4 linked regions of the Schizosaccharomyces pombe genome follow. The gene in region 3 interacts genetically with the main gene of each other region. Each region holds a gene or a part of one and is shown on either strand. Other genes may lie near its edges. The genes, in order: cmk1, ncs1, prz1 and gsf2.

Region 1 (7,041 bases), 950 kb from region 3:
GGCCTTTCTCATCCTTTTTTACGCCATCGTTTATCCAAATCCCAATTTAATGAATGGTTTTTATCACATAACGGTGTTGATCCAGTTCAAGCTCAAACATTGCCCGATCCTCTTTTGTTTGATATTCCGGACCATCAAGAAACGTCTTATAGTTTGCTTGAAGGTTACTCAGTCACTGCTCACGATCATTCCGACACTTCACCTTTGCCGATAACAAGCTCCAACCAAAAGGAAGGCAAAAAAAATGTATCATCGATTGATGTGTCAATGGTTTCCGACTCTTCTGAATTTAAGCCCGATAGCTTACAACACGAAAAATTGGTGAAGAAATGCAATCAACTTCGTCTTCAAAAGCTCATTAATTCTAGCGAACTTGCACAGATTGATTTGGAGTTGTCCAAACTCTATTCTCGAAGAAGGCAAGTTCTTGAACGCCTTAGCAAGATCGAGGAACAGAATTTAAAGTATACTTCCAAGCTGGCTTCTGTTGAGAAACTGATGTTAGATTCGGATGCTCAAGATTTGTATAGCTCATATTCTCATGATTTAATTCCTTCACAAATTGAAGCGGGTAAAAATGGAGCTAACCCCGATGTTTTTGATGATACACACGACAAGTATACAGATAATTTATCTGCTAGGGCTATCTCTCCAAGAGCTCCAAGGCCATCTACGGCTAGTGAAGTGGTATCAGATTACTTTGAACAGAATTCCGCTTTTTCTAAAGCACCAGAGAATACTGAATCATCTGTGAATCAAAATTATATAGTTGGAAATCTCGTAAAGCAGTTTCAAGCTCATTCTGAATATATTACGAGTCTTGATTTTTCCCATCCTTTTGGAACTTTAGCTACGGCCTCGACTGACAAAACTGTGAAAGTTTGGGATATGGCGGGTGTTGTATACCTGGGTTCATTGAAAGGTCATTCTGATTATGTTTCTTGTCTGGCGATTCAAGACTCCTTTATTGCTACTGGCTCTATGGATACAACCGTGCGGTTATGGAATTTAGATAATGATGTACTTCATAAGGATAATCCTGTTGAAGAGAGCCTTAATTCTCCTCCCGATCAACCTGTTGACAATGCCACAAATGTTTTAACATCTCACACTGCCCCTGTCACTGCATTAGCATTATCTAGTGATGATGTGCTTATAACCGGTGCCGATGATAAAACTGTTCGACAGTGGGATATCGTTACGGGGCGTTGTATTCAAACTTTGGACTTTGTGTGGGCGGAAACTCATGATACATCTACTAGTCAAATTTTGGTCAGTGACACTTACAAACAAGAACCTTTCATCAGAGCTTTAGACTGCTTAGATGCTGCTGTGGCTAGTGGGACTGTCGATGGACTTATTCGCATCTGGGATTTGCGAATCGGTCTTCCTGTGAGAAGTTTCATTGGGCACACAGCTCCTATTTCTTCTTTGCAATTCGATTCCAACCATTTGTATTCCGGAAGCTATGACAATTCTGTTAGAATATGGGATTTACGAAGTGGCTCGCCAATTAATATTATACCTATGGAGAAAAAAGTGAATTCCTTAAGACTGTATCAAGGTCGTCTTGCTGTAGCATCTGATGAACCAAATGTTAGGATATTTGATACTGTATCTAATCGGAACTGGATTTGTTCAATTCCTTCTCACTCTGATTCCATAGCAGCCGAACCTAACTCAGTACCTACTTCTGTTCAATATAAAGATCGCTTTTTGGTGGATGGAAAGTCTGATGGATCTGTTAGCGTTTTTTCTGCTTAATTTGTATTTTTTATCCACACCTTTATTTATTATACTCTCGTTATTGTGTTGAATCTGGATAACGTTAATTTTAAAATTTTATGTCTTTATGCTTTGGTTAATGGGTATTAACTTCTGTTTGGTTTTTTTATTTATTTATGGACAAATAAAAAGGAACGAGACATTGCGAATAAAAAACTGTGATGTTAATTTTGTTCAAAATATTTAAAAAAATTCTCAAAGCAAATTGTTTGATCACCACCTCCCTTCTGCTTCTTATACTGTAGGTTTAAAATTTAGTAAATAAAAATCTTTTCTAGTTTACATTTTTTTGGTTTTACTAGTATGAAGTACGCAACCTCATTCTGATCTGAGATGTTGTATTTCATTTTGTTGATCCAGTTTACAAAACACGCTCAGCGTGTTTAATGTCAACTACACATAATAAGTATTGAAGAATCTTTTTGAAATTAGCAATTTGAACTCACACAGTGAGTAAAATATGGAAATAACCAAGCTCTTTTTATATTTCAGATTAACTGAATGGTCATTTTATTTTTGAAGCATAAATAGTCATAAATGCTAAAATTTCAAAATTTTACATCTGCAATATATATAGAGAATTAAACAACTGCGTTCATCTGTCGTCAACAGTCTAACAATGTCAGAAAACTGGTAGCGTTACTTTTTAAAACATCGACATAACTTTTAGCATTTTGTATGAGGCTATTTTAAAAACTAAGTAGAGAACATGATAGGTCCAAGCATTCCAAATCACAAAGAATATATTTAACATGTAAGAGTGTTAATACCAAAAAAGTATGTACTGAGGGCAAAAGATAATAAAGAAGTCATAAGTCATAACAAGATAAAATAAGAAAGTTATAAGAAAAGATGTGTATAATTAATGCTTATTCTCAAGCTTTTTCCAAGTGTTGAAAGCACGTACAGCGTTATAGGCAGTACGGAACGTTTTTCTTGCATTGAAATTTTCCCGGACGTTTGGAAGCAAATTGGAGGTTGCGGGACGCTTTTCAGACAGGAAGGGGTGCTTCAACGCATCAGCAGCAGTTAAACGTTTCGAAGGGTCGTTTTCCAAACATTTTTTAATAAAGTCCTTGGCCGTTTCTGAAATGCCAGACCAGCAAGGATCGTTAAAAGTGTACTCGTTAGCTAAAATTGCTTCTATAACTTCAACCTGAGAAGGTCGAGCAAATGGAGTATAACCACTGAGTAAAAAATAAGTTATAACGCCAATAGCCCACATATCTCTATAAACAGTATTAGTCAAGATACATAACTTCTGAATTAAAATGGTAGTTGATCAACTTACACAGGTTTTCCATATCCGGTTCGACGAAAGACTTCGGGTGCCATGTACTCTGGTGTCCCACATGCCGTCATGAGCATATAGTATTGAGAATCCTCATAAAAGTGGGACAATCCAAAATCGGCAATTAACAAATCTGAATTCGGATCTTTAGAGCGATAAAGTAAATTTTCTGGCTTCAAATCTCGATGTACAATTCCATTGTCATGCAAGTACTTAACTGCTGATGTGGTAGTACGCATTAAAGCAGCAGCATCGGCCTCATAAAATGAACCTTTGGCACATATTCTATCAAAAAGTTCACCACCGGTGGCCAGTTCAGTGATTAAGTACACTGTTTCAAGGGTTAGTGAACAAAACACATCACAATAACATTTGATTCATCAAATCGAAATCGGAGACATACGATTATTCACAGTTTCAAAAAAATCAACCAAGTGTAAGATATTAGGATGTTCATAAGAAACACGTTTTAGAATTGCAATTTCATTCTTCACCTATACCACCAAAAACATGTTAGTAAACGTAAATAAGGATGCTGTAAGTACTTAAGTCTTTACTTACAAAGTCTTGTTTCTTCTCCATCATCTTTTTATTCATAATCTTAGCCGCATACATTCTATGAAAATTTGGTCAGCAAACAACTCGAATTTAAAATATACTTACTTGTTAGTTTCGATATGAACGGCTTCACGAACCGTCGCATATGTTCCGCCTCCCAAAACCCGACCGACACGATATTTGCAAGGTAATAGTTGTTTCTGATCCACCGTAGCCTTTGGAGCACCGTCTTTCAAGGCCGAGGTGTTTGGTTTGTATGTTTGCTGCATAGCTGTAAAGAATCAATAGATGAATTATTCCAATGCCAACGAAGGTAAACGTAAAAGGTTTCTCTTAATGTAAATTATTGTATTGTTAGATGGTGCCATAAACAATTCTGTACTACAGAATTCTTTTATGAAACCAAAAATGTAAAGGTATGTAAATGAAAAAAATCCCGTAGAAACAATAAAGAAAATATTATTTGCGCGAAGCAGGCTGTTGAGTTAAACGGTGGTTCAATAACAGAATGATCTAAGCAGCGCAATGACTGTCCACCAACTTATGACAATAAGTGCTTAGCCTCAACTTGTAAATATGGAAAAATTTGGAAAAGGTATATTGAAATCCTCGGATTTAACAGGATATTGATATTGAATGTACCCGAATAGTATTGATGAAGATAACAAGAAAACCAGCGTCTGATAAATACCGTCCAACTGATTTGCAATTGCAAAACCAGTAGTCTGCAGTATAGTCATAAATCCTGGTAATTCCCAATCGGTTCAGTAATTTCCGTACCTATTTTCCTCTTCTAAGAGAAAACAAGATCAGAAAGATCAAAATTACAATTAGCGTATTGAAACCACCAAACACTGTAACAATGCAACACAATTATTTAAAGAATTGAATTTAATTATACAATCCTTAAAAAATCGCAGTTTTATGAGCAATTGGCAAAACGCGAACTGCTTGAAATTTCGCTGATATTACCAGCTCATGAGAGTTAAGTAGATATAACAAGCCATCATGGCGAATATTGGTCACTAACGTATACCGTAATAATGCGCTATCCCATGCATTTTAGTTTGTTTAAATACAGTAAGCGTATTAACAACATAGAACAGAATACGAAAAGGTAACCACGTAACAAAGATTCATACTGTAACAAAAATTGTGAAAAACAGACTGAGTGTAAATTGAGCTAATAAAATCGATTTTGAATGATTACTTTTATAATCTTTTCCATCTTGGAAGAGGTATTTAGTTATTTGAGAAAGAACCGAACTACCTTCTGAAAGGAATACCATACATTTTACAATAGCAGTGAGTATGGTATGTTAATTTCTCATATGCTTCTTGTATGATAGTTAGTCGAAATGTATTGGAGATAATGTTGAAGAAGTAAATAGTAAAAAATGCGCATGCATGCTTGACTCCATTTGTTCTACAGTACTTTACCCTTGCTATGATATAAATTCAAAGTATCGGTTTAAACAGACGAAACCAATAAGGGTTTAAACTCACATGGGTTTTTGAAGGAAGATGAGTCTACAATGTAAACTATTCAACTCTTAAATAACACTTTTTGATAAATCGCGATATAGCCAAAAACTAGAAGAACCCTAAGTAACTTCTTCTTATTAAGGTATAAAACAAGTTTTCTACATTGCGAATAACGAATAGAGATGAATGCATTAATTCTAACATTGAAAATAATATAGTCGATCCTTTGGATTCCAAATAAATTATGAAAACCATTTAAATCATTAATTAAAAATAAATTATGAGATGGATGCAATAAAAACCTGAAATTAATCAATAACCTTGAACCATCTTTGTAGGTGCCTTCCCTAAAAAGAAATCTATTAATGGAAAATTGCTCAACAGCACTAACGGAATTAAACCTGCAAGCATACCAAATTCTGAGCTAGACTCAATGTAACCCAATTTCTTCATCTCCGACAGTGCAGCCACCTCAAGTTTTTCGCTCACAGCTTGTTTATCCCTACAGCCTAAAAACATGGTTATACTCTTTTCTGTCTCGAAAGAAGGGGTCAAGGTTGCAGGTTGAATAAGTTCATGAAGACAACTCAAAAGTGAGTTTAAATTTCCAAATTTTACTACATTAATCCTCGACCGAACACTATCTGTTACATCAGATAATCTCAAATCGAGTTTCGTATGTGTTTGAGAAGGAATAAAGGTCTGAGAATGCTGGTCTGTTGTAAATCCGTTTGGCTTAGTTATTTTTCGAATGTTTTTTCGAAGTTTCGGCCATACCTTAAAAGCTGAGTCATTATGCTTGCTTAACAGCACTTCACTTGTGTAAACGACATTAGGCAATGACGTCGCATAATCATCTTTATAGAATTCATCATATGTGTAAATATAGGCTATACTCGTCTCTTCATACAAAAACTTAAGTAAAAGCTCCAATGCAATTAAATCATTTTCAGTACCCAAATATATGAGAATTACAACCTTGCTTCTTTCATATGTAGAGCCTTTTTCTTTCACACTAATCTCAACCTGATCAAAGGACTTCTTGTCCTTTTCTAATTGTTCAAAATCATTCTTCGGTGAACCATACTCAGTACTACGTATGATAGGCCTAATTTTTTTCACTGATAAATTGTGAGGATTACGTGTGAAAAATACTCCAACTGGGATCCGGGCCATCTTTATTAAAGGAATCAACTCATCCAAAGATTTAAAAGAATCACCCAAAGCTAAGCGGATGGAACTCAAAGACAGAGGAGAAGAAGAGCTCTCATTCTCAATTGTTTTATAATCCTTCAAATAGGGCATGATCAAAATGTTTGAAGAAGACTTCTTCAACGTCTCAAGAACCACATTGTAATAACCAGTTCCACTCACTAGCAAGGCATTGCTTTCGTACTCAAATTTTTTTATTTTTACAAACGTTTCAAACAATCCCATTAGTGCTTCATTTTCAACCTTATTATCGACCTGTGAGGCCCTCAATAGATTTGAAGTACGAGAATCAACAAAAAGTGTCCAAATACTATGAATAATTATTTGAGGCAGATGTAGACAGCCACTCACTTTATCACGGTTCTCATAAATATGTTGTATAAATATCATAGCAGCAGAAGCATCCAATGGATGATTGATTAAAAAGGAGAGTCGAGTCGGCAATTCTGGAAGATACTGCACAAGCTCTTCGGAACTTTCAATAGAATTGTCATCATGTTCACTTTTAGTGAACCGCAGAAAGAATTTAGTCATAGGGGTGGTGACAAATGTCGTTATAACAGCCATAAACACAAACATGGAGAAAATTGTTTCATTCAATATTCCAGTTGAGAGACCGATGTTCAAAACAATCAATTCAACAAGGCCCTTACATGACATTAACGATCCAACGACTAGTGAATCCGACCATGGCATTTTGAGAATCCGAG
Region 2 (6,565 bases), 480 kb from region 3:
TTAAACATTCAGCGAGTTGTTAACTTCACCTACAATTAGCATATTTTAACATTGTTTCAGAGATGCTCACTAAGTTTTTATTATAGATATGGCTAAAAGTGTTGTTTTTCAAGTAAAAAAATGTTATAATAAAATTAAGTAATCATGAATTGAGTGAATTAAATTAAGCAGGTGGTAGAAAAGATCCATAGAGACCTGCCTGTATGACAGTGTAAACTATCCATACAAACAAGATGCAATGGCCAAAAGCTTTTAAGTTTCTGGATTTTGCATACAAGGTTGCATGAGCCATTGACCAGTAGAGAAGTGGAAGAGCTGAAGACATTCTGTTTAAAACTTGAGTGTGCATGTGGAAACAGCCTATATAGAGATATAAGGCACTCAGGACAAGATGCGATTTGATGGATCGGAAACTGTGTAAAGTGGATCCAGAAATTGAATAAAACAATGCAAATAAGATGGGTATTATAGAGAGTAAAGCAAATAAAAAGTTTGGGATATTGTTAAGGGTCCAGTAACGCAAAAATCCAACGTTCCAGTACTTCTCTTGGACCGCTGGATAAATAAGAGGTAATGATTTATTACACCAAGCTACTCCGGGGCAAAATAATTTGAATCCAAGATACTGGTTGTAGAAAAAGGGAACAAGTATAATTAAGCATTTTGTTCCATAACCAACTAGCTGGGAAACTTGCATAAATGTAAGTTGTAATCGTTCTAAGCTTATTTTTAAGGTCCCAATAGCTGGCATTCCAAAGAATATGCACCAAAATATTCCATTGCTACGAATTAAGGTTGCAAGAGACCACAAAAATGCTGCGGGATATTGTTGCTTCTTTATGAACAAAAGCAGCCCCAAGAAACTGAAAGCAGCAAAGAGTGATTCTGTGTAACCCACGGACATATATATTCCAGAAGGAGAGAAACAATAAAATATCACTGTATAAGCGGTCATTTTTTGATTTGAGAAAATGGACTTCGTTAATAGGTAAAGGGCATAGCAAGCAATTGCATGAAAAAATATAGAAGCAAAACAAGAAACTATGCCTAAAAGCACAACATCCTTGCTTCGAAAAGCAAGAAAAGAAATAATTTTTGGCCATAAGCTAGAAAAAGCCCATTCTTGTTCAAATAGAGAACCATTGACAGCCATATCAACAAAATAGATAGCATCCCATCGAATCCAAGATATGAACAGGGTTCTAAATATATTTGATTCAGCTAAACGTGATCGATTTTGTCGTAGATATAACATTGCAGTATCATCAAAAACACACAAGTGTGACATTATTACTGCAATGCCAAGATAAAGAATCGTAGAAAGCAAAAAGGTGCAAACACAGATACCTTTAAAGTAGTTATATCCCGACCTAGTCATCCTTATCGCTAAGTAACTGTTCGATTTTTTTTCTGCGTTTTTCATCGCGGATTCGTTTAATTTCATTATGTATTTCTTCTGGTTCTTTTGGTAATTCCTTTTCTTGAGTATCCCAGAATGTTGACTAGTATTTTGTTAAAACAGGTCTTATATACAAACATACATGTTCAATATGTTTTCGATAATAACTAGGATGTCCAATATAATACATTGCTGCTAAAGGAAGCGCACAATATAAAGTAAACTTTTTAATTAGTATGGTTCATACCTTATTTAAAAATGAATATTCATACCTTGAAAAACTCCAAGTTCAGGCCTGCCATTAAGAAGTTGGGTGTTGCCGTACTAGGGTTAAGCCTACTAAAATTGCAACGTCTTTATGCGAAGCATTTATACATAAGAAATTTCTCAAATGAATACACTCATAAATGAATTGAAAGCCACAAAATTAGTATTTAAAAAAGATAATTACTTATAAATATCTAAATCGACTATCAGGGTGATAATCTATAAAGACAACCTAAAGCTTAATTTAGCTAAGCATGACCACACTCATTAAAATGTGTGAAAAATAGATGATTATTAATGGAGAATATATTAACAGTAAAAGAAAAGTAACGTTTGAAAAACTCGTAAAAGATGTCAATTCGTTTTCGGACTAAATTAATTTAACTGCCCTAGCTTTCAGGTACAAATAATCCAGTGATTGCACAAGAATATATGAAAACCGCATTGAGCAAGAACCTATGTAAAAATGTCTCGCGCTGAATTATTTATAAATAGTTTCTTGAATTTTATCTAAAGCAAGAGCCTAAAACCTTCATTATATTAAAAAATGTAATAAAAGGCAAAATGTACTTTCATTGAGTGAAGCAAAAAAGAACAAGGAAGTAAGCCAGAAAACAAACAACAGATATGTTAAGTAAAAGCACAGTAAAACTACCTTATTAATCTCACCAACAAAAAAGTTGAGAGGTAGACAGATAAAAACGAAAATGTAGTTTAATCGAAGATATATATGCAGAAGAAAACTTTGATAATAATGCATACTAGGGGTGAAAAGCTAAACCAATCCATCGTATAAAGAAAGGGCTGACACGATAGTCGGATCACGTTTGGACCCTTCGCAGAATTCCTCAAGTGTCAGTTGCCCATCTTTGTTTTTATCCATCATATTGAAAATCTTGTTGACGCGCTAAAAAATTATTAGACATTATGCTCAACATACTAAATATTCAAACCTTTTCAGGAGTATCTTCATCCTCCGGTAACTTGACCATGCTACCAACCATTTTGTAGATAGCATCAACAATTCGTAGCATTTCGTCGTAAGAAATCAATCCATTATTATCAAGATCGTATAATTGAAATGCCCATATAAGTTTATCATTCAGTTCACCTCTCGAAGTCACACTTAAAGCACAAATGAATTCTTTAAAATCAATGTATCCATTTTTGTCAGCATCAAAAACATTAAATACATATTCAGCGAAAGCACTCGGATCACCGAATGGGAAAAATTGTTTATAGATTTTCTGAAATTCAGACTTATTCAAATGGCCAGAAGGGCAGTCTTTAAAAAACCCTGCATACTTGTTAGATTCAGCGTTAAACATTCAATTTAGCAGCAATTAAGAATCTTATTCAAATTGCAGAACCATGATGCGGATGTAAAATCAATTTTTTTAGGATAGCTGTCATACCTTTATACCATTGTTGCAATTCCTTTTTATCAACTTGGATTTGTTAGTATTGACTAGTTTTACAAAACGTACACCTTGTAGAACGAACTAAGTCTTGGAGTTGATCTTGAGACAATTTTGATTGTGATTTTCCCATCTTGAAGACAAGTTAATCTTTTCTCAGAGGATAGTTGGTTTAATTTATAATTTTTTTTAAGTAACTTGTCGGATATTAAAGTTGTTTAGCAATTAGCAGTAGTTGAAGTTGGGGAGGCGCAGGGTAAATTGAGTTGTCAATCGACAAGTTGTAACTAGTGTTAAATGGTATTAAAACAGTTCCTATTTGGCTCATTATAAAAGTAAATTCATCTTTTTTTAATTCTAAGATATGTAAATTTACGTATACATGTTTGGCAGAAATTTATTAGAAAATTTTTAAACTAGTGTATTCCAGATATATAACAATTTATGTGAATAATAAAATATGCAAGCTTTGTTGATACTTATGTGAACGAATATAAAAAAATATTTAAATAGTAAGCATAAAAAATGATTTTTTATAGATCACTGAAAACATCAAGTTGATGTTTTGAAAGTTCATTTGTACATTAGTTATTGATCTTGTAGTTTTACCTTTACCATCCTTTATTACAGTTCAGAAAATACATTTTTTATATTTTAAATCTATCTGTTTCAAAAATAAAAATATGAACAAAGTAGCTGGAATTTAACTACAATTGATTATCGATGGATATTGAGATTCCACTGCGCCGCTTGGTAAATTTATGTAAATTTTCATTTTTTACGCGTTGAAATAACTCACCACTGATTAAATAGTGCATTCTCTCATTATTCGGTTTCAAAACTATTGAATTGTCGTTGAAGCAAAGCTATTAATATCATTATGGATACCTACATGGAAGAAAGAGAAGCAGGTTGGTAATTATGTTTAACATTTCTTCGATTTTCTAATCATTTTCTTACTAATGTCTACAGGACGGTTGGAAATTTATTCCGTCAAGAGGAATGTCTTAAATATGTTTTCTATAGTAATTGTTTCTGCAACTTACTCTATTTCGCTCGATTCGACAGTTTTATATCCAGCAGTATATCATGCAATTGTCAATCAACCGATGCTAGGTGCTAGGATCCACAATTGTCATAGCAAAATTCCCATTGTAAAGAAGTTGAAAACAATAGACCTTGATAAGGTCGTTAAATATGCTGATGATCAGAAAGTTGATAGCTTCTGCAATAACGCTCTTCAAAATTTTAAGCTATGTTATGACGATGAGACACTTCCTCTTTGGATGGTCTATGTACTAAATGATAAGTCCGAATTAGTTTTTATATATGATCACTCCCTTTTCGACGGAGGAAGTGGCCCTTTGTTTCATAAATATGTTTTGGAAGGATTACAAATGTCCAAAACAAATTTTTCATCTTCAACCGTGCCAGTATCAGAATTACCACTTCCTAAAAATCTTGAAAAACTAATAGATGTTCATCCTTCATGGTTTTGTCTAATGAAAGCACTATGGACAAACTCTGGACTTCCGTTCTCTAAGGGCTTTCGGTCTCCTTCTTATAAAGGTCATGCTCCAGTGCGTCCATTTTCATCGCATACAATATTCTTTTCAATTTCTAATGCTGTTGTTAAAAACATCAAGCAACTCTCAAAAAACATAGACGCTTCTTTCACTTCGATTTTTTATTCTGTCTTTATGCTCAGTATATATTATGCTATTGCTAAAAATGGTAAAGTTAACCTAGATATGCTCATTGATGTGAATGCGCGCCGTTTTTTGCCCGTAGCCAAGCAAACCATGGGAAACTATGTGTTTTCTTACGTTCATCATCTAAACGGTTTTCAGCCAAGTCAGCGTCAGGAGGACTATAAACATACCATGGTAGATTTAGCAACTGAGTTTTCGCATCGATTAAAAGCAGCGCTTAGCAATCCTAGGGAGATGTCTCAACAAATTGGATTGCTAAGTTATATTGATATTGAAGACTACCTTTTAAAATCTTGTGAAAAAACTAGAGGAAATACGGCTGAAATATCTAATTTGGGGTATTTTAGCTTTCCCGCCGATTCGTCGGTAAAAATCAAGAATATGGCATTTGCACAACCTTGTTCCAGTCTTTCTGCACCTTTTGTACTAAATGTTATAACAGTAGCAGATGGTCCATGTTCGTTTTCCCTCTCTATTTTTGATGATGGGAACACCGAACAAACTCATGAGCTGGCTATAAAAATAAGGGATAAGTTTCTAAGTATTCTCGAAAAGGTTTCTATGAATTCATAGCCGTTCCCAGTATAAAATATCATCGACTAATAGGTTTGTTTATTTTTTTACCTATTTTTATCCATTCTTCTCCTATTTATAGATTTCAAATTGAGAACAGGTTATTCGAAAGAATTTTTGAATTATGAAAAGTTTGAAGCTTTATACGCACTTTTTATTAAGGTAATGCTGGTTAATTCAAAGATTTCGAACTTTTCTTGAATAGACACCTATATTATTCACTTTCGAAAGTCTTCTTATTAACAACAAAGAGCATGTAGTAAAAATTTTTTAAATACCATAAATACTTTTGAGTAGCTGAACACTATAAGTATTGTTATCCACAGGTTGAGTGAGTACGAGAATAATACCAAGACAACTACACTCCTTTGCCAACCGCGACTTAGATTTTCACTTCCACCATTAGCGGATTAAACTCAACCATTCGCTTGTGGTCTAAGGGGATGTTAAAAAGACCTAAAAGAGATCCTTTGAAAGATTGTGAATACGTTTTTAAAGGCGACGGGCTACGGCGAGTCCCTCCCTACTATTATGAATACATTACCTTCGCGAAGCTGAGGTGGTACGGTAAAACTCTTTTAGAGGTTTTCAATACCGAATTTAGGGACAGGGAATCTGGTTATTATGAAAAGGCAATACGCAATGGTCAAGTTAAGGTAAACAATCAGATTGGTAACGTTGACACATTGATTGAAAATGGATACATAGTTTCCCATCATGCGCATCGTCATGAACCACCAGTTTCTGACCAACCAGTAGGCATAGTCCATGAAGATGAATCTTATGTTGTTATTGACAAACCTGCTGGTGTTCCAGTGCATCCTACAGGTCGCTATAATCACAATACTGTTTTACATATTTTGATGAAAGAAAACAAATGTTCTCTGTTATATCCTTGCAATAGATTAGACAGATTAACTTCTGGTCTGATGTTCTTTAGTAAGAGTCCTAAAGCCGCTGAAGAAATGCGCGTCCATATGATTAGCAAAAGCCTGAAAAAAGAATATGTTGCTAGAGTAATAGGAGAGTTCCCCAATTCTGGTGAAGTAATTTGCGATGCTCCGTTACTTACTGTTGCACCTACTTTAGGTTTAAATAGGATCCATCCGGATGGAAAGGAGGCCAGCACCGTTTTCAAAAGAATTGCGTTTGATGGACACACATCCCTCGTGCTTTGTAAACCACTGACCGGAAGG
Region 3 (8,271 bases):
AATAAAAGTTAAGTATTGAACTTTCTGACCCTTAAAACAATAAAGAAGGATTAACAATAAGGATACGAAACATTTCAAGAAAACGGTAACTTCTAATCGCAATTGCTGCAGTATTAAAATGTAGCATGACGAGCGAATCTCAATCTTAAGAGTACACAACGAGGCAAAATGATTTTTTTATGTTGCTATCCCACACTTCTCAATACCGTTGGTAACTCATTAGTAATAGTGTTATTCTCACAAATCTCCTTAGCGGTGAAAATTCCAATTCCATGATTCATAATCAATTCTGCTAGGGGTAACTCATCAGTGTCATCTAAATCAACGTGATAAGGGATGTAATGCAGCATAGTCAAATTTTGAAGATAACTGCTTGTTTGTAGCATAGCAACAGGACACACTAATAAAGTGGATGCTTGAAACTCGGTTGTGTTTTCTTCAGGCAAATTGACGACTTTAACCTCTTCATAGTAAGTCTCCCAAAATTTTGATATCATTTGTTTTGTGGAGTAGTTATAAAGATGAGAGGTATTAATTTGGCTAAATTTTGGACGAGCAAGCATCCAAGTCGGAGCACTATAAATCTTCCAAAAATAAATAGTCGTGGGCATTTCCGGATTAAAATACAAATTACAATTTTCCATGGTTGTTACATTTCTCTGTTCGATAATATTTTTTACTTCCAAAACCGCAGGGATAACACCATTTTGATGCATTATGCCGAAGAAAACTGCCAAAACAACTGCATACATTACAAATAAAAATTTGATCCAATATGAACGAACTAGACATCCAGAGTTCACTATAAAAATAGAGGCTGCGGGTAGCAAAAACCTGGGCTCTTGGTGAGGAAACAGGGATAGTATGAAAACGGGGAGAAGCCATAACCAAGTTGCAGGTTTTCGAACGTCCCAAAGCTTTGGAACAAAAATCAGAGGACCACAAAGGAGTGGCATATTAGTGAAAAAATGTGTTAATCTTGAGTGCAATCCGTGCTGTGACAAATTTTCGATTTGAGAATTGTATTTTAAATTATTCCAAAATGTTATCACAAACACCCCATAAAACTTGTAGTCCTCGAGGATGCATGCTAAGACAGTTGCAAAAGAAACTGAAACAAAAATACATAAGTGCAAAAAGATGCTAATCCAGTTAGTGTTTATTCCATAATATATTTTTAATTCAATTTAAAAATCAAAATCACTTACTCTTTCGGATTGTTCACGTTCTTTTTAAAACATCGAACAGAAAAATAGATATAGGGGGCGATCACAAAAGCTAAAAAAGTGATTCTTGTGAAAAATCCTAATACACTAACAATTGCAAGCAAAAATGTATATAAATAACTAATTTTCTTGTTTAATGGCTGATTCTTGTTAGTTAAGAGTTGCCAGCTATTAACTTACCACACTATTCAACTTCGAAAGAAATAGTATAGTTAAAAAAAAGAAAATCGTTTCAATTGAGTTTGTAAAAGTATGTGTTTGAAATGTAGTAGCCATGAAGGATGAGGAATATAAAAGCAATGCACTCCATCTTGCGTTCAAAGGTACGATGTTCCAAATACTCAAATCTGCCAAAATTAGTCAAGGAAGGAGGAAATAAGGTTTGTAGTAAATTCTGAAATAAATTCCAAATTTATCAGAGCTTAATATTCGCCAATGTACATACCTATTAACAAAGAGATCAAACACATATAGAGTCTAGTGAACAACAAAATAGGATACGGAGAGCAGTTCGCTTTTGGATATGTAAGAATTTCGTTCAATTTAAAATACACTTACATTTGCAAATACACCGGCAAAGCAAGAAAATAGGTAAAAGCATCACATTCAAAGGAACTACAGACCGAATTGGTTTTTTAGTAGTAAATTCCCATGGAAGTTCCACTTTCCAGCCAAATAATTTATCTTTATATTAGTCATAAATTGTTGAAGAATTGTAATATACTTGCGAATATTTGAAACGATTGTAAATGCTCATCCGGATGTATGTATGAGCTGCCTTGCGAAAACCAAAAGCGTAAAATTAGGAGAAAAGTATAAATTATAGCATATTTACGGTTTTTAAACATCCTTAATCTCAATGGATAAAGCACGGGATTTATTGCTTCAGTGTGCAATGGATTACACGATGAAGATATAACGAGATATTCCGAACTATATATGTTTGTTATGAAAAAGGTTTGCTAAGCGAAAATGTAAACAACTCTTGGTCGACGGGTATATGTTTAAGAATACACGAAGCATACAAAAAGTATACGTTAAACTAATGTTTCAGTAAAATAATTGTACTAGAAGAATTGCAGGTCTTATTACATTTTAAATTAATCTAACTCAATACCCAAAACATAATTAATTTTAAACAAATCTAATATTAAAAGCCGTATTTTGGATCAACGATGGGGTAAAATCAATCACTAAGTATAAACAATGTCAACTCTCTTTAAAAAGGGCAAAAAGTTAATAAACTATAAACGAAGCCAAACGTAACATCAAAGATAAAAAATAATACAAAACCCTAAATGCAAAACTGTGCAAATACTTGCATCACATTGCAAAAGGAAATATAGTTAGACACCCATTAATCACAGGTGCAAGCAAAATGTCTTGCTTTGGAAATTAAAACATCATTTTTGTTTGCTTGTCGAGGCCACTGCTGTCTTTCTGGATGGCGGAACTTGAATTCCTCGTTCTGTGGCCGTGCGAAGACAATTTTGTCCAACTTCACTTTTATAATGTCGGTTAAGTGCATCCATGCGAGCAAACCTCTGATTGCAAGTGACACATGCAAAGGCTTTAATGCCAGTGTGTAACTGCTCATGTCTCCGTTTATCATGCTGTCTAGCAAATGATTTCTTACAAATCGAACATTGAAAGGGACGGTAATTTGTATGTGTATTCATATGACTTTTCAAATTATAAGCCCTAGTAAAACGCTTATTGCAACCAGCAAATGTACAAACGTAATTTCCTTGAGACTTAGACTCTGACTTTGCTTTAGACGAAGACGAATTTTCCGATTTGTTTCCTACTAGCGAATTCAATGATCGACTTCGAGGACGAGTATTTCTAACTGACAAATAATCGTTCGACTTAGAATTATCATTCTCTATTTTTCCCAGCAGTTCGGTATCTTGGTTAACAGATAGACATTCAGAAGAATGTGAAAAGTGAGTATATAATTGAGGTATGGGCTCATAAGCATCAAATCGTGAGCCAGCACTATTTGATCGATGACGAGCCGTATATGTGGGTGACATTTCAGGAGCACAAAGATTAGCGTTTTGTAAGTCATAAGAATTTTCATTCATAGCAGGTTGACCAGATACTGGAGATGCAGACTGGCTATAAGTGATACTAATGTCTGTTTGAAGAAGAGGATTTGCTGGCAAACTAGGTCCAGATTGGGATTTGGAAGGAGATGAAGGTACTACATTAATTTGTGGGGTACCCGAAAAGTTGTTTGAATCATAATTCAAAACGGAATTGCTTAAAGCGGTAGGAGAAATAGGGTCAAAAACGTGTGTTGTTAAAGAGGCATCTGCATGGTCCTCAGAAAAAGGAGAATTTACAGAACGAATAGTAGATTCTCTAGCATTTTCGCTGTTTAAAGTCCTTCCGGAGTTTGGAACAAGATATGGGGATGACTGGTGAGAAAATTCAGCGGAAGGACTGTTCTCAAATATGAAAGAAGGTGTGGAATGGTTAGACAATAAATCAACGGAAGGATTCAAATTGGTATTATCCGTATCAAAATCTATACCAGTGTTGCTTTCACCAGGAGACGCGTTCGTAAAGGCCCCCAGGCTCCCGGAAGAAGGTGGTTGAAGGTAGTCAGCAAAAGAACCGGTTCCGGTAATATTTTGTTGATTCTCCATCAATAAAGATGGATCTTCAAAATCAACAGAAGGAAATCTCTCTGAATCAACTTCAGTTCCAGATGCCTGTGACATTACATCAACAAAATTAAAAGCATCGGCTTCATACAGAGCACCAACAGAACCTTGTAAATATGGAGAACTCGGATTTGAAACAGATCCTGAGGGAAGGAAGGATGTTAATAGCTGAGGCGATGAAGATGGAGAAATTTCAGAAGCCGCAATTGCACGTGAAACTGGTAAGAACTGAGAAGAATCGATATTTGAAGACGGAATACCAATATTAAACTCATAAATGGATTGTCGTCTTGAGCCAACATTGTTAACAGTAAAGTCGTTGGCGTTATGAGTAGAACTCGAACCTTGAGTCAAGTCAAATGCTTGCGGACTATTTGATGGATTACTTAAAGGGCTAACGGAGTTTTCAAATACCGCTTGACTACCGAAGCCACTGACTGAAGTATCGTTCAGTTCTGTAAATGAAAAAGTAGGTACATTCCCGGTTCGAGGATAAGAATCATATTCATCGGATTTTGAAGACGTTTTAAAAGGCTCGGAGGTGTTGGGATGGAGGTGCTGAATATTATTTTTAGAAGGATTGGAAATTAAAGAAGAAGAAACTTCAGACGCAAGAGTATCCTCAAAAAGGGGGATATCAGCAAGCGAAGTGTCATTCATGTACGTATGCAACTCGCTAGAGCCTCCAAGATCCGGCTTTGAAAGGTTATCGTATAAAGAAGAAGGATTCAAGTCTTTGAATCTACGATTCGCTTCTTCTGACCTTTGACGCTCCATCGATGAAATTCATCAAATAATTAACTTTTGGAACGGTACGCTCTCAAAAATATTGTCTGAAGACTCACCAACTCTCTTTAATTGAATGGTTAGACAAATTATTTTTCAAAAAGCCTATAACGTGAATTTTTTGACCGAATAGTAGAGTAAAGCTGGTTTGTAGTAATAAATTGGATAAACCAGCAACACCAAGGGTGTGAAATTTATTAGTGGAATGAATAATTAATTACCAAAAGTATCGTTTAATAAACGAAAAAATTAAGACTTGAGGTCGTCAAAGTTAATCCAGTGCTTCACAGGATTTGATCAGATAACGACAGAATTTCTTGATACAAAATTTTGTATTTTGGAATAATGCGCAGGATAAAAGTCTGAGAAGATTGATGGTTAGTACAATATAATTGTTAGCTAAGCAACGTCAAAAAGGGCATTAAGCAATACAAATGAGAGGAGAGAGTGCGACAAATGAGATTTTCACAGATCGAAATGAGGAAGTAACCTAAAGGACAGCACAAGAGAAAACCCTTTAACGATTAGGAAAAATTGCAAAATTAGGTAGACAAGTATACAAGCGCAAATCGCTAACTCGACATGAAAAAAAACAGAATAGCCTCAATATACTACAGCGTCAGCTAAACGCTTTGATTTTCACAGAAAAAAAAATGATAGTTTAATAAATGGCCAGCAGATTATATATTTACAACGGATGAATTGCTAAATCATCAAGATATTTCTGCGATGTAGTGGTAAAGGATTGCACAAGACGTGATCGGGTAACGAATTTTAAGTAACACGCAGTTTAAACTTGAAGTTAGTATGAAGCAGCAGGATGCTAAAGAACAGTTTGCTAAACAAATTAAAAACAAAATATAATAAATTTCCATATACAAAGGATCCCAGTTAAGGAGTTCCAGAAATGAAAAAAAATTGGTTTTTGAAGGATATTCATCCAATTTTCTATTGAAAATTTACTGGACTTACTAAAGGGTGGCGACTTGTGTATAGTAAAGTGATGAGACATGTATTTTATACAAAGCACAAATAGCTAAATAACATGAATGTATGAAAATTTGTTTTATTTATTGAGCGACATCAAATATATATTCTAGTTTAAGGGGTAGGAAGCAAAGCCACATACTTTAAAGTGCCGGTTATTAGTTGAAGGCGTGCCCAAATGTAATACCACTTACAACATGGAGAACTTCCGTAGGCTTGTCAAGAAGCATTAAACCCCAAAGCTTGAAATTCATGAAATTAGCTTTTCAACACCATCCGAAACTCATTAGTGGGGAAGCAGAATAAGGTGTAGTACTACTTATAAATTGTGGAATAATTCTAAGTTGAAAACATAAAGTACTATAAATTATATGTAAGAGACTTCAAACCACCATGCAATTCTGACTATTGATTATTTTTGAAGAATCTTCTCTCACGATACGACGGACGGCGGCTTTGACGAGTTCCAGGCTCTTTGGTGCAGAGGCTTAGTTGAATGTTGTGAACGAAGCGGTTCATATCGGATACTTCAACCGATGTTCTGTCAACTAATATATATCATATTTGCAAATATCAAGAGCATTTCTTGTATTAGATTACCTAGATGCAGAAAATCCCAATTGTAATGCAACGAAATTGCGTATTGTAATAAATGGTATAATAATCTTATTAAGTATTTGTACTTCGTAGCAAAAGATGACTATATTGTGTTGTAAGAGCAACCTATACACCTCGTTTCGTAAGTTCTTTGATGGCGGAAGCTTCATGAGAAGCTAAAAATTCATAGTATTCTTTCAACCTCTGAAAGACTGATTCTCCGTTCCATAAGTCAATCCCTTCACTATTTTTCGTGTGTGCCGGCAAACCGTGTTGTTGAATGACAAACGAAGCGGCTACAGTAGCTTTAGCACAAGCTTCTATAATATTACCCGTCCTATAATACTCCAAGATTGCAGCTCCACAAAAAGCATTACCAGCCCCAGTGGTATCTAAAACGCTTCCGTTTTTCATTTGTACACTTGGCAAATGAAGAATTTCTCGCACAGGGACAACTGCATCGCTTGTAGCGTTGGTACTACTCGTGCATGCACCAATTAAACAACCATCGGACCCATTTCGAAGAACAACCCATCCTTGAGAATCGTGCCCAATTTGGAATTCTTGAAACGCAGATACAAACTCTTTGGCTCGAGATTTGCTTTCGCTAATATCTATACCCAGAAGGTTGGCAGAGTCCACCTCGTTTGGAGAAAATATATCACAATACTTTAAGGCTTTTTGTAAAATATGCCAGTTTTCCGGTAAACAGGATTCAGGCGTTGGCTCCCATACGATTTTAGGACGATTTTTTAGATTTCCATACTTTGCCAGTTCCTCACACACAGAGACAAATGTTTTAGGATTTGTAATAATATGAATTGTTTTTGCATATATCAATCCTGTTTCCAAAAGATCAGGAGCACGAATTGGCTTTTTAGGTGTAAGGTATTCAAACAATCGAAAACCATTGTCCCTGAGACGGTTGTAACCATATGTAGTTTTTCTCCAAGGCGTTTCTCTGTATACAATTCCAGTATGTAAATCGTTTAATTCATCGAGGATCACCTGCGGGAAATCAGAGCCTTTGTCAACAATCATTCCCAGTTGTTGACTTTCGGGTTCAGACGTCCAGAGTCTAGCACCAATCAATGCTGAAAATAATGTGTTAATTATTATTTTAATAATAAAAATATTGGACGCAATGCATCTTTTTTCTAAGGGAGAGGATTTCAACCTTCGATAAACAGATATGCTTCACCAATGAAGTTCGCAAATCGCTCCGCTTAAAATTTTAAAAAGAATTAGACACTTACCAAAAGATCCTGCACCTCCAATAATATCTTTAATCTTCTTTCCGCCGTCGAATTCAATTTCATCTATAATAAACATGCCTTGCATTCGTTAGCACTTATATGTGAAAGTTTTTACCAGTTGTGACGAATTCCACATCTTTCGAAGGATAATCCATTTTGTTAATCCCAAAAAATTACTGTAAGTTGTTTTTTTCTTAATTATAAGAACATATATTGCTTTAATGTTGGTGCATTAAAAGTCAGAGTTAGCGAACATCTGCAGATAATCTACGTAATTATCAATAAACATCCTGCACTCTGTATAGTAATTTAAAGGTAACATGGCGAATAATTAAATAAAATATTTCATATTTATGAAGGAAGTGTTGAATCATGCTGAAAATTAAGTATCCGTAAAAAATGTACTTTTGCATTTGCTTACTTTTGTATGAGATGAATGGGCATACTACTACATACCATATATCAAGCACACATGTCATACTTAGAACATTGTATTTTCCTAACGATATATAGGAAGTACTCATCATTCTCAAAAAGGAATTATCACTTTCCAATATAAAATTAACTAATCTAAGTGTTAGCAATGCAACAGTCCTGACCAGTCAATTAGCAAGCAATATAGCTAAGTCTACTCTTTTATAAAATTTCAAATGTTACTTCCCAAAGCTTTGCTCTTTAGTGCGGAATGGTAAGATTGGGAAAAAGAAATTGAAGTCGTCTAATTGCATCTGGGTTACGATGCTTGTG
Region 4 (10,791 bases), on a different chromosome or scaffold from region 3:
AGCGCACCTGTAAAAAGTAAGTACCTAAGCAACAAGTCGTCCTTCTCAATCATAGAATCACAGCTTCGGGCCCTTTCGACTTGTTTTATGAAGATTTTTCTTCTTTTTCATGTGAAAGTAAATTTTCATACACTCGTCAGTCTTTCTCTAGTTGTTGTACCTTGTTCTTTTTTTTTTTTTTTTTTTTTGAATTTGTACATCTACCCTCATCTCCACCCTTTGCAACATGTCATGCAAGTACAACGATTAAGGGATACTAAAACACTTTCCAGTAACTAACAAACACATTTTCATACTCATATATTATCCATTAATTGCTGTTACGTATGGGCGGCACAATATCACTTACATCTCATGAATTAGCGACATGAATGTGGAGAAGCTTGGGGAAAAAGAATGCGACAAACCTTCCTACAACGTAGCCGTTTATTTTCATAGGAATAGATAGAAATAGAATTTATTGAAACATTCTTCATTTGAAAATGGGTTTTCAACAGACTTGGTATTCTACCTTTACAAACTTATTATATTTTCTTCTTTATTGCTCCATTTGTTATATTCACCAGCCCCAATTTGATGTAACGCATTTCGCAGTTCCTTTCTGCACCCTACTGTTCTTTACGGTACATCACTCTTATTGTTAGCTACGCAGTTCGGTATCTGTTTACCGATACATATTGACCCGCGGTGAGTTTCTCTTGCGATCTACAATATAACGGTAAAGCGGTATGCGGTATGTTCACTAGTATCTTAGTATATGACATATAGTGATACGCGGCGTAGTAAATTATATAGTGTAGTGCTATATTGCTGACGCACAATTCGCTTTACTGAATTTGTCTAAGCTGCACAATTTTTTTACTGTTCCCGCTACGCCGCCTTACCTTTGTAGTACATGTGACTAGACAAACTCGCTCTTTTATCACATCTCACTCTTTTACACTATGCGTTTTATCGTATTCCTTCATTATACACTATGCATGCTGTACTTTTTAATGCTACACTAAAAATACGCACACTTATTGCTTTGAATTCATTTACATTAACTTGTCACTCATTCACTATTTTTACATTAGCACCTTTTTTCTACTTATGCTGTTATTCTGAAAACAACAATAGAATATCTTTAAATGATAATTTGTTATTATAAGATAACTAGTTTAATTCCATTTATTCTAAAAACATTAACACCTCATGATCGTTTGTTTAAATTAGAGTAACAATATATACAAACAAAGAGACAAACGTCAAATAGGCAATTGGCTTATTAGCTCCAGCGGAGGATGGGTATAAGCCAGTAACGTTGGTGTTGTTACCGCCTGTGAAACCACCCGTCGTGTAGTAGGTATAGTTATAGGTAGCTGAACCGTTCCATTGACGAACGGTAGACCAAGTAGATGTACCAGATCCTTGATAAATAGGATTGCTAGTAACAGTACTGCTTTCAGGTGCTTCGGTAGAAGAAACAGTTTCGGTAGCAGGAGCTGAAGTGTAAACACTAGTAGTATAATAACTAGTGGTAACAACAGTGCTAGGCTCGTACTGGGTAGAGGAAGTAGTGTAAGTAAAAGCACTAGATTCTCCGGATACTCCAGTAGTCGTAGTAACATGAGTGACAGGATACACGGTTGAGCCAGGAACGACAGTGCTAACCACAGTAGAAGATACAATAGTAGTGTAATATCCACTTGAAGAAGTCTCAGTAACAGCAGTAGTAGGTTGAACCTCAGTAGCAGTAGTGACTTGAGTCTCAGTACCAGCAGTTCCAGTAGCACCAGTAGTAGTTTGAACCTCAGTGGCAGTAGTAGCTTGAGTCTCAGTAGCAGTAGTAGCTTGGGTTTCAGTACCAGTAGTGACTTGAGTCTCAGTACCAGCAGTGCCAGTAGCACCAGTAGTAGGTTGAACCTCGGTAGCAGTAGTGACTTGAGTCTCAGTACCAGCAGTTCCAGTAGCACCAGTAGTAGGTTGAACCTCAGTAGCAGTAGTAGCTTGAGTCTCGGTACCAGCAGTTCCAGTAGCACCAGTAGTAGTTTGAACCTCAGTGGCAGTAGTAGCTTGAGTCTCAGTAGCAGTAGTAGCTTGGGTTTCAGTACCAGTAGTGACTTGAGTCTCAGTACCAGCAGTGCCAGTAGCACCAGTAGTAGGTTGAACCTCGGTAGCAGTAGTGACTTGAGTCTCAGTACCAGCAGTTCCAGTAGCACCAGTAGTAGGTTGAACCTCAGTAGCAGTAGTAGCTTGAGTCTCGGTACCAGCAGTTCCAGTAGCACCAGTAGTAGTTTGAACCTCAGTGGCAGTAGTAGCTTGAGTCTCAGTAGCAGTAGTAGCTTGGGTTTCAGTACCAGTAGTGACTTGAGTCTCAGTACCAGCAGTGCCAGTAGCACCAGTAGTAGGTTGAACCTCGGTAGCAGTAGTGAGTTGAGTCTCAGTACCAGCAGTTCCAGTAGCACCAGTAGTGGGAAGGACCTCAGAACCAGTAGTTGTAGGAGTATTAATGACAACCGTAGTGGTTCCAGTAGCAGTTCCAGTAGGAGTAACTGTGACAGTAGATGTCTCGGTTCCAGTGTAACCAGTTGTAACAGTAACAATGTCGGTTTCAGTCGCAGTCACTGTGGTAGGTGTTTGAATAACAACTGTAGTGGTTCCAGTGGAGGTTCCAGTAGGAGTAACTGTGACAGTAGATGTCTCGGTTCCAGTGTAACCAGTTGTAACAGTAACAATGTCGGTTTCAGTCGCAGTCACTGTGGTAGGTGTTTGAATAACAACTGTAGTGGTTCCAGTGGAGGTTCCAGTAGGAGTAACTGTGACAGTAGATGTCTCGGTTCCAGTGTAACCAGTTGTAACAGTAACAATGTCGGTTTCAGTCGCAGTCACTGTGGTAGGTGTTTGAATAACAACTGTAGTGGTTCCAGTGGAGGTTCCAGTAGGAGTAACTGTGACAGTAGATGTCTCGGTTCCAGTGTAACCAGTTGTAACAGTAACAATGTCGGTTTCAGTCGCAGTCACTGTGGTAGGTGTTTGAATAACAACTGTAGTGGTTCCAGTGGAGGTTCCAGTAGGAGTAACTGTGACAGTAGATGTCTCGGTTCCAGTGTAACCAGTTGTAACAGTAACAATGTCGGTTTCAGTCGCAGTCACTGTGGTAGGTGTTTGAATAACAACTGTAGTGGTTCCAGTGGAGGTTCCAGTAGGAGTAACTGTGACAGTAGATGTCTCAGTTCCAGTGTAACCAGTTGTAACAGTAACAATGTCGGTTTCAGTTGCAGTCACTGTGGTAGGCGTTTGAATAACAACTGTAGTGGTTCCGGTAGAGGTTCCAGTAGGAGTAACTGTGACAGTAGATGTCTCAGTTCCAGTGTAACCAGTTGTAACAGTAACAATGTCGGTTTCAGTTGCAGTCACTGTGGTAGGCGTTTGAATAACAACTGTAGTGGTTCCAGTGGTTCCAGTAGGAATAACTGTAACAGTAGAAGTCTCAGTACCAGTATAACCAGTTGTCACAGTAGTAACGGTGCCAGTAACAATGGTTGTAGGAATGATATACGAAGAGTTTCCATAAGGAATCTCAACTGTGTTGGTAACAACAGGGCCAGAGGAACCGGTCAATGTAGTTGTAAGAGATCCGGAATATCCAATGGTAGTAGTGGTAGTAGTAGCCGAAACACTGGGAGTTTCGATATAAACTGTAGTGGGACCAGTCTCACTTCCACTGTGAGTAACAATAGAAGTAAGCGTGGTTGATCCAGTCCAGCCAGTCGTAATAGTAGTATAACCATAATTAACACTAGTAGTGGTAGGGACATCAACAGTTTCAGTAACAATGCTATTGCTACCGCTACCAGTCAAAGTAGTAGTTACCGAACCAGAATATCCAACAGTAGTGGTGGTAGTGACAGTTGTGGGATAAGGAGTCTCCACATAAACTGTAGTAGGTCCAGTCTCATTACCACTGTGAGGAACAGTAGTGGTAAGAGTAGTGGATCCAGTATAACCAGTGGTAACAGTGGTGTAACCATAGTTAGTAGTAGTGGGAACCTCAACAGTATCAATAACAGTACCATTGCTAGGAGCTCCAGTCAAAGTAGTAGTGACGGATCCAGGATATCCAACAGTAGTGGTGGTAGTGACAGTTGTGGGATAAGGAGTCTCCACATAAACTGTAGTAGGTCCAGTCTCATTACCACTGTGAGGAACAGTAGTGGTAAGAGTAGTGGATCCAGTATAACCAGTGGTAATAGTGGTGTAACCATAGTTAGTAGTAGTGGGAACCTCAACAGTATCAATAACAGTACCATTGCTAGGAGCTCCAGTCAAAGTAGTAGTGACGGATCCAGGATATCCAACAGTAGTGGTGGTAGTGACAGTTGTGGGATAAGGAGTCTCCACATAAACTGTAGTAGGTCCAGTCTCATTACCACTGTGAGGAACAGTAGTGGTAAGAGTAGTGGATCCAGTATAACCAGTGGTAATAGTGGTGTAACCATAGTTAGTAGTAGTGGGAATCTCAACAGTATCAATAACAGTACCATTGCTAGGAGCTCCAGTCAAAGTAGTAGTGACGGATCCAGGATATCCAACAGTAGTGGTGGTAGTGACAGTTGTGGGATAAGGAGTCTCCACATAAACTGTAGTAGGTCCAGTCTCATTACCACTGTGAGGAACAGTAGTGGTAAGAGTAGTGGATCCAGTATAACCAGTGGTAACAGTGGTGTAACCATAGTTAGTAGTAGTGGGAACCTCAACAGTATCAATAACAGTACCATTGCTAGGAGCTCCAGTCAAAGTAGTAGTGACGGATCCAGGATATCCAACAGTAGTGGTGGTAGTGACAGTTGTGGGATAAGGAGTCTCCACATAAACTGTAGTAGGTCCAGTCTCATTACCACTGTGAGGAACAGTAGTGGTAAGAGTAGTGGATCCAGTATAACCAGTGGTAACAGTGGTGTAACCATAGTTAGTAGTAGTGGGAACCTCAACAGTATCAATAACAGTACCATTGCTAGGAGCTCCAGTCAAAGTAGTAGTGACGGATCCAGGATATCCAACAGTAGTGGTGGTAGTGACAGTTGTGGGATAAGGAGTCTCCACATAAACTGTAGTAGGTCCAGTCTCATTACCACTGTGAGGAACAGTAGTGGTAAGAGTAGTGGATCCAGTATAACCAGTGGTAATAGTGGTGTAACCATAGTTAGTAGTAGTGGGAACCTCAACAGTATCAATAACAGTACCATTGCTAGGAGTTCCAGTCAAGGTAGTAGTGACGGATCCAGGATATCCAACAGTAGTTGTTGTGGTTGTGGTAGGGACTGTAACAATAAGAATTGTTGTTGGAGGGGGACAACTAGTACTTGTTGAACCAGATGTGGTTACAATTAAAACCGTTGCTGGGTTGCATGAGGTGCTAGTCGTATCAGCTACAAAAGTTGAGCTCGCTTCAACAGCATTTGAAACTTGTGAACCTGAAGTGGTAGTCGAATCAGGAAGAAAGGTAGATGGGCTTGCTTGAATTGCATAAGAAGCTTCTTTCCCTGAGGTAAAAGTGCTAATAGCAGTCATGGAAGCGTCGTTGCTAACGGGACTAGCAGTAATGTAGTTAGCATCATTTCCATTTTTTACTGTGAAGGTGCTAGTAAACATGCTAGGATCAACAGCAGCGTCTCTGCCAAGTAAGGTTGGCATATCGTCAACTAGGAAATTTGGATCCGCAAGCTCGGTCTTTGGAAGTGAAATATCGTGAGGCACTTCATTTTGTGATGCAGAGGAAAGGTAATCTTCAGGTTCCATTCCCTTTTGCAAAATCCTGACATTTCCAGAAGGTAGACCAGAAGTCAAGGAGGGAAGAAGAGCAGCCGTGAAAAGTAATGCCCGAGCAGATGTGGATAAAAACCTTCTAACAGACATTGTTGATATATTCAAAAACGGGTAAGTGAATTAGAAAAAAACAAAATTATTAAGATAATTTAACCAAACGAATAAAAAAATTAAATATTATCAAAAACAAAATTAAATCCAATGCTTGACGATTGGTGTGCAGAGCGCGTTTATTGATAATATGATAGAAATTCAATTAGAAAAATAGTGAATCCCAAATGAATAAAGCTCGTAGTTTCAACAGAGAATGAAGAAAAGAGGGTTTAAATGAATGCAAAATTGCGAAAAGATTAATGAAAGAAATAATATATATAAATAAAAAATAACTGGATGAAAGGAGATTCGCAAGCTGTATTACCAAACCAACCCAAACACGAAATTACCCAGTGTTTATTTTGTGTAAATGTAGGACAACTTAAAACCCAATTTCAACCCGAAATCCTAGACGATAGAATGGGGGATGTAAAGAAAAAAGGGGAGAATATTAAAAAATAAATGCTAGCCAGATTTATTTTAAATTATTCAAATGAATGTAAAATACCCACTTGTAATTCAAAAGAATGTAGAATATGTACAAGAGCAGATTTGTTTCTCAAAAAAAAAACAAAATTGGATGCTGGCGAAAAGAATGAGTGAAGATATTGTTATCACAGATTCGTGCAGCGAAGAGAGATCAAGTCGCTTTCCCAAAATAAAGATGGAAGGAAGGAAACAAATGATGATACAACAAAAAAAAGAAAGTTCCAATAACCAAACTCTAGCAACCTCAACAAAAAGAGAGAGACAGATGGTGTATATGGAATAGGTAATCCTTTTTTTTTGCAATGTTCGAATCTTTCTCGATGCTTTGCTTTTATAGAAGAAAGTCAACGATCTTAATCTCGTTAAGAATGTTTTGGATGTTCAATTGATGACTGATTGACGAACACTCGACCACTCGCCTTCAATGTAGGAGCGAAATAACTTTCTTAAGTAGATGCGGCCATATTTATAAATAACTACACCCAAACCAATCTGTGTGAAATTTTAGCAATGAATATTTACGGAATTTTTCCTTTGCGACTTTTTCTATACCCCTCTCTCTGTACCCCGATGACCCTTTTCTCAAATGTTCCCCGTTTTTGCAAGTTTTTCTTTTTTTAGAGAAACATTTTGAATTCGAATTTAAAAAATCGTTGTCACCTATGTGGAAGACCCCGCGATAACATAAAACCTCTTCGCAAATTCTAATTTCGGCTAGGGAATAATCTCTATCTCGGGAACATGGAGGTAAGGATCCACTTTTGCATTCTGTGCTGGTTCCTAAGAATATCGAGGTCGAGCGAAGAAGAAAATTTCGATATATGGAATAACGAGACCGAGTATGCTAAAGAAAGAGAAGAAAAGAAGGCTGATTACAGGAGTAGTGTAGAGGATGTAGCAAGCGCAATTTTAATTGCAATTAAGAAGCTAGTGAAACAAGAGATTAAGATTTAATTTGTGGAGATGACAGGAGAGAAATGAAAAAGTGCGACTATGAAGAATGATGAGTAAGTGAGTGGAAGTGTAGTAGAGATGGGGTTGTGGTAGCGAGAAAGGCGGTGTTTAGAAGGATGTAGTAGTAGTTCATGCAATGTCAATTCATTAGTTATGCAACGTCTAAGTCGTTAGATTTTCAATGTTTGCTTAGTGATCAAAGCATTTATAATTGAAATTTTTTAGTTCAATTTTAAGGTGGCAGCGTTCAGTTGCTATTTTTTCGCGTCTATTTGAATTGCGACGATTGTAAACGAAAAATAACCTTTCAATATTATGGATGGATGTCCATTCGCGCATTGGAAAGTTTCTACTGATTTGAATGACTTTTTACGCGTCCTTTTCCAATTTCTTTTCCTACAATTTTTGGCAATTGTTTTTGTTTTTTTTGTTATCACCACTATTGTTTCATCTTCTCCCTCCAACTAGCGTTCTCCTCGGATAAAAATACTTGCATTTACTTCTATATGTCCAATTCATAAAATTACAAGTATGTCAAACCTCTGCCGGCTTATAGTCCAGCTTGCCTTGGAGGCAGAATGCATGGCGGCGCTCACCAGGTGTTGTCAATCTGGTCCCGTAGAATGGTGGTAATTTTTGCAACTCTCATTACTCTACGCTAATTATATATACTGCATTCTTAAGTAATATAGTGAATCGGAATGAGTTTTTTTTTTTTTTTTTTTTTTTTTAAGCAAATTGGATCGGAAAAACAAGGACAAGAAATGAACGAAAGCCTTGATAATTACGAGAAAAATTACATAAAATATATGGAAATCTTTTTAGAATGAAATGAATTCTTTTGCTTCTTTTCCAAACGTCAAAGCCAACGTACTATATCCTTTTTGCTACTGTGTACATGCTACGCTCTACTTCACTAAACAGTCAGGTCAGTATGTACTATTTTCGGTCAGTGTGTACTTTTTGCTCTGGTTGTGATTAAAGCTAGTTTGGCTTAGCCATCATGGATGGTAAAGCCGGCAATGCCTAGGCACATGTTGAAATGGTTATTTTTATAGAACTAGCTATTTTGGATGAAAGTTTGAGAAGGAAACCCGAGAATATAGACTCACGAATAAAGAAACACTCATTAATTATTCGTTTAAAAGATATGAGAAGAAGTTAAAACAAGAACCTTTCTATTTTCATCCACCATTCACACAACAAATACTTTTTGTTTGTAAGCAGCTTCTTGTGTTTCTCGTCTATTTCTGTAAATAACCAACATCGGATAGCACACCCACTTTACTTTCTATTCTTAGTAGCCGTCGTTATTTATTTTTAGCAGTAACCCGCTCCTGCCGTACTAAACGGCATTCATAAACGGAATTAGTGCAGTGTAGTGTAGTGCATTCAGTGATCAAAGGGGATCTTATTTTCTTCGATTGTCTTCTAAGTTTCTCTATTTTTAGATGGACATTTTAAAAAAAGTCTTCTTCGTGTATTGTAGAATACCTTACCCCCAAAAATAAAAAAGAATAAAAAAAGAGAATCCTGAATCACACACACTCTCTCTCTTTCAAACATTTTTTTTTTCTGTGGAATTGTCAATTTATGTGCTGCGAAACTTTTCGCTAATTTCAACTTTACGACTCGTAAAATGCTTCGTTAAGCAAAAGGGGTAGGCTTATATACTATTAGTAAATAACCATCGGTCCGACAAGGCAAGAGGGCAATTTCGATTATGCATCCAATTTTCATAAACTGTAGAAGGGAAATTAGATAAAAAAGAGGTGGCTGAATCAGATGCTTTTCTTTTCTTTTTTTTTAATTCATTATTTGTTTTCACACAGTAAAGTTTTATGTGTACATACGAATTCACCAATATTCATACACTCGGGTTCCCATGGAAAACAAGGCAATCAAATTACGATAAAAAAATATATATATGTAAAGAAAAGAGCAATCGTTAATTGTTGTTGTTGTTGTTTTTTTTCGAAGAGAAGTCGTATTTGTTTCTTTTTTTTCTTAGACATTTTATTGTTCCTTACCTTTATTTGTTCTTCCATGCTTTCTTTATTTACATAGGGTCTCCGTTACTTGATGTTCTTTACCTCTTCCTCGTGCTGAAATTGAATGGAATACGTCATGATTTCGGTAAATCAACCCTTTAAATTTTCGGTAATCCTTGACCAATGTTTGTTTCTCAAATACAAAAACACTAAAGCTTATACGTCATGACATGATGTTATCTGTTCGTTGAGTGGAAGGATGATGTCAAACACATTGTCCAATTGCGGCTTTTAAATTTCGCTTCCTTGTTTATTTATGGCATCATATGAAGAAGGAGAACATTGTGACTCCATTCCGCTTCGTTATTCACCTTTTCAAAACAAGAGGTTTCTACGATTAGCGAGGTCGTCGTTAAGCATAATTAAAGAGAAGAAGATATACAAGATGGTAATTTGATTCTTTATTTCTATTTATATTTTATTTTTTACTTTGATACTTGTGTCCCACTTGTTAATTCTATTTCTATATTATTTTTTCCACTTTTTTAATTCTATTTCTGTTTTCTATTTTCTAATTTTCCGCTTGCTACTTTTACTTCTATTTACAAACTCTATGCCTATCGTGCGTGACTTTCTAAACAAGTCAAGGTTTTATCGTTTCATCTAATGTTTTATGGCATGTGGAAAGTTTGTTAACCTTCCCATAATTTTAATATGGTTTCATATTCAATTTCTCTTGTTTTCTCTTATTCTCTGTTGGAAAGGAAAAAAAGTGGTTGAGAGTATCATTTGTTTCTTTCTACTTTTCTCCCCTAACTATTGTGAATCTATCATCTTAATCTCTCCCCGCTTTACAATCATTCAATAAGGAAAGTATTAGGAAATGTTGCTGACTCCCACTTTCTCTTTCCCTCTCCCTCTCCCTTGCTCCAAGGGGATGGATGTTGAATGTTCAGAGACCGGTATTAAGGTGGAGTGCGTTGTCGTTATTCTCATGAATGATGGAGTTGGAGAAAAAACCGATTTTAAGAGGGAAGCGATGAAAGCTGGGGGTTGAAAAGGATTGGAGTGGAGTGGAGTGGAGTGGAATGAATTGAATTGAATTGGATTGGAAAGGAAATGAAATGTTTATGTTTATGTTTATGTTTAAAAGGATGATTTGGTTTTCAATTCAAAATTTCAAGCTGTCAGTCTTTTCTTTCTTTATAATCGCTTTTTTTTTTTGTTTTAGTTGTCATACTTTCTGTGTGTTTCTGTTTCCCGCCCACTTTCTATGACTCTTGTCGAATTGTCACACATTTCTTGCGTATACAGTTGGCTGGCTTTTTTCCTTCTCATTTCGTCTGTGAATTTTAGATAGGCAATTGAAAACATTCACAATGAACAAGGGATACTTAGCATTCTTTACAACAACCTTTTTCAACGTTTGTTTCTAGGGAAGCATATTTCTTCAACA

Evidence for each region.
Region 1: of prz1 (region 3) and cmk1, changing one suppresses a phenotype caused by changing the other (phenotypic suppression), as found in Schizosaccharomyces pombe (one study listed by BioGRID).
Region 2: of prz1 (region 3) and ncs1, extra expression of one impairs growth in a mutant of the other (dosage growth defect), as found in Schizosaccharomyces pombe (one study listed by BioGRID).
Region 4: of prz1 (region 3) and gsf2, changing one suppresses a phenotype caused by changing the other (phenotypic suppression), as found in Schizosaccharomyces pombe (one study listed by BioGRID).

The regions. Positions count from the first base shown.
Region 1 is NC_003424.3:1,735,185-1,742,225, forward strand, and holds cmk1 (calcium/calmodulin-dependent protein kinase Cmk1), read right to left. Parts: upstream 4,117-7,041; 5' UTR 3,904-4,116; coding exon 3,740-3,903; exon of another isoform or gene 3,693-3,739; coding exon 3,638-3,692; exon of another isoform or gene 3,571-3,637; coding exon 3,480-3,570; exon of another isoform or gene 3,408-3,479; coding exon 3,077-3,407; intron 3,015-3,076; coding exon 2,648-3,014; 3' UTR 2,269-2,647; downstream 1-2,268. Other genes in the region: mdv1 (CCR4-Not complex subunit Caf4/Mdv1), read left to right, coding at 1-1,764; potassium ion/proton antiporter Kha1, read right to left, coding at 5,432-7,041. UniProt on the Schizosaccharomyces pombe protein: Important in cell cycle regulation.
Region 2 is NC_003424.3:308,218-314,782, forward strand, and holds ncs1 (calcium-binding protein), read right to left. Parts: upstream 3,338-6,565; 5' UTR 3,218-3,337; coding exon 3,154-3,217; intron 3,115-3,153; coding exon 3,082-3,114; intron 2,964-3,081; coding exon 2,620-2,963; intron 2,574-2,619; coding exon 2,442-2,573; 3' UTR 1,940-2,441; downstream 1-1,939. Other genes in the region: gpi18 (dolichyl-phosphate-mannose--glycolipid alpha-mannosyltransferase PIGV), read right to left, coding at 164-1,502, 1,534-1,589; SPOM_SPAC18B11.03C (N-acetyltransferase), read left to right, coding at 3,965-3,995, 4,057-5,369; pus9 (tRNA pseudouridylate synthase), read left to right, coding at 5,813-6,565. UniProt on the Schizosaccharomyces pombe protein: Negatively regulates sporulation perhaps by controlling Ca(2+)-dependent desensitization of git3.
Region 3 is NC_003424.3:784,490-792,760, forward strand, and holds prz1 (calcineurin-responsive transcription factor Prz1), read right to left. Parts: upstream 5,424-8,271; 5' UTR 4,676-5,423; coding exon 2,630-4,675; 3' UTR 2,289-2,629; downstream 1-2,288. Other genes in the region: smp3 (alpha-1,2-mannosyltransferase), read right to left, coding at 186-1,143, 1,209-1,366, 1,407-1,573, 1,672-1,740, 1,785-1,910, 1,951-2,074; SPOM_SPAC16C9.01C (carbohydrate kinase), read right to left, coding at 6,395-7,362, 7,525-7,602, 7,640-7,679; mta1 (S-methyl-5-thioadenosine phosphorylase), read right to left, coding at 8,200-8,271. UniProt on the Schizosaccharomyces pombe protein: Involved in the regulation of calcium ion homeostasis. Binds to the calcineurin-dependent response element. Transcriptionally regulates pmc1.
Region 4 is NC_003421.2:958,075-968,865, forward strand, and holds gsf2 (protein Gsf2), read right to left. Parts: upstream 7,939-10,791; 5' UTR 5,899-7,938; coding exon 1,207-5,898; 3' UTR 1,125-1,206; downstream 1-1,124. UniProt on the Schizosaccharomyces pombe protein: Galactose-specific adhesion protein essential for non-sexual flocculation and filamentous growth. Required for adhesion and filamentous growth through recognition of galactose residues on cell surface glycoconjugates. Induces flocculation when overexpressed.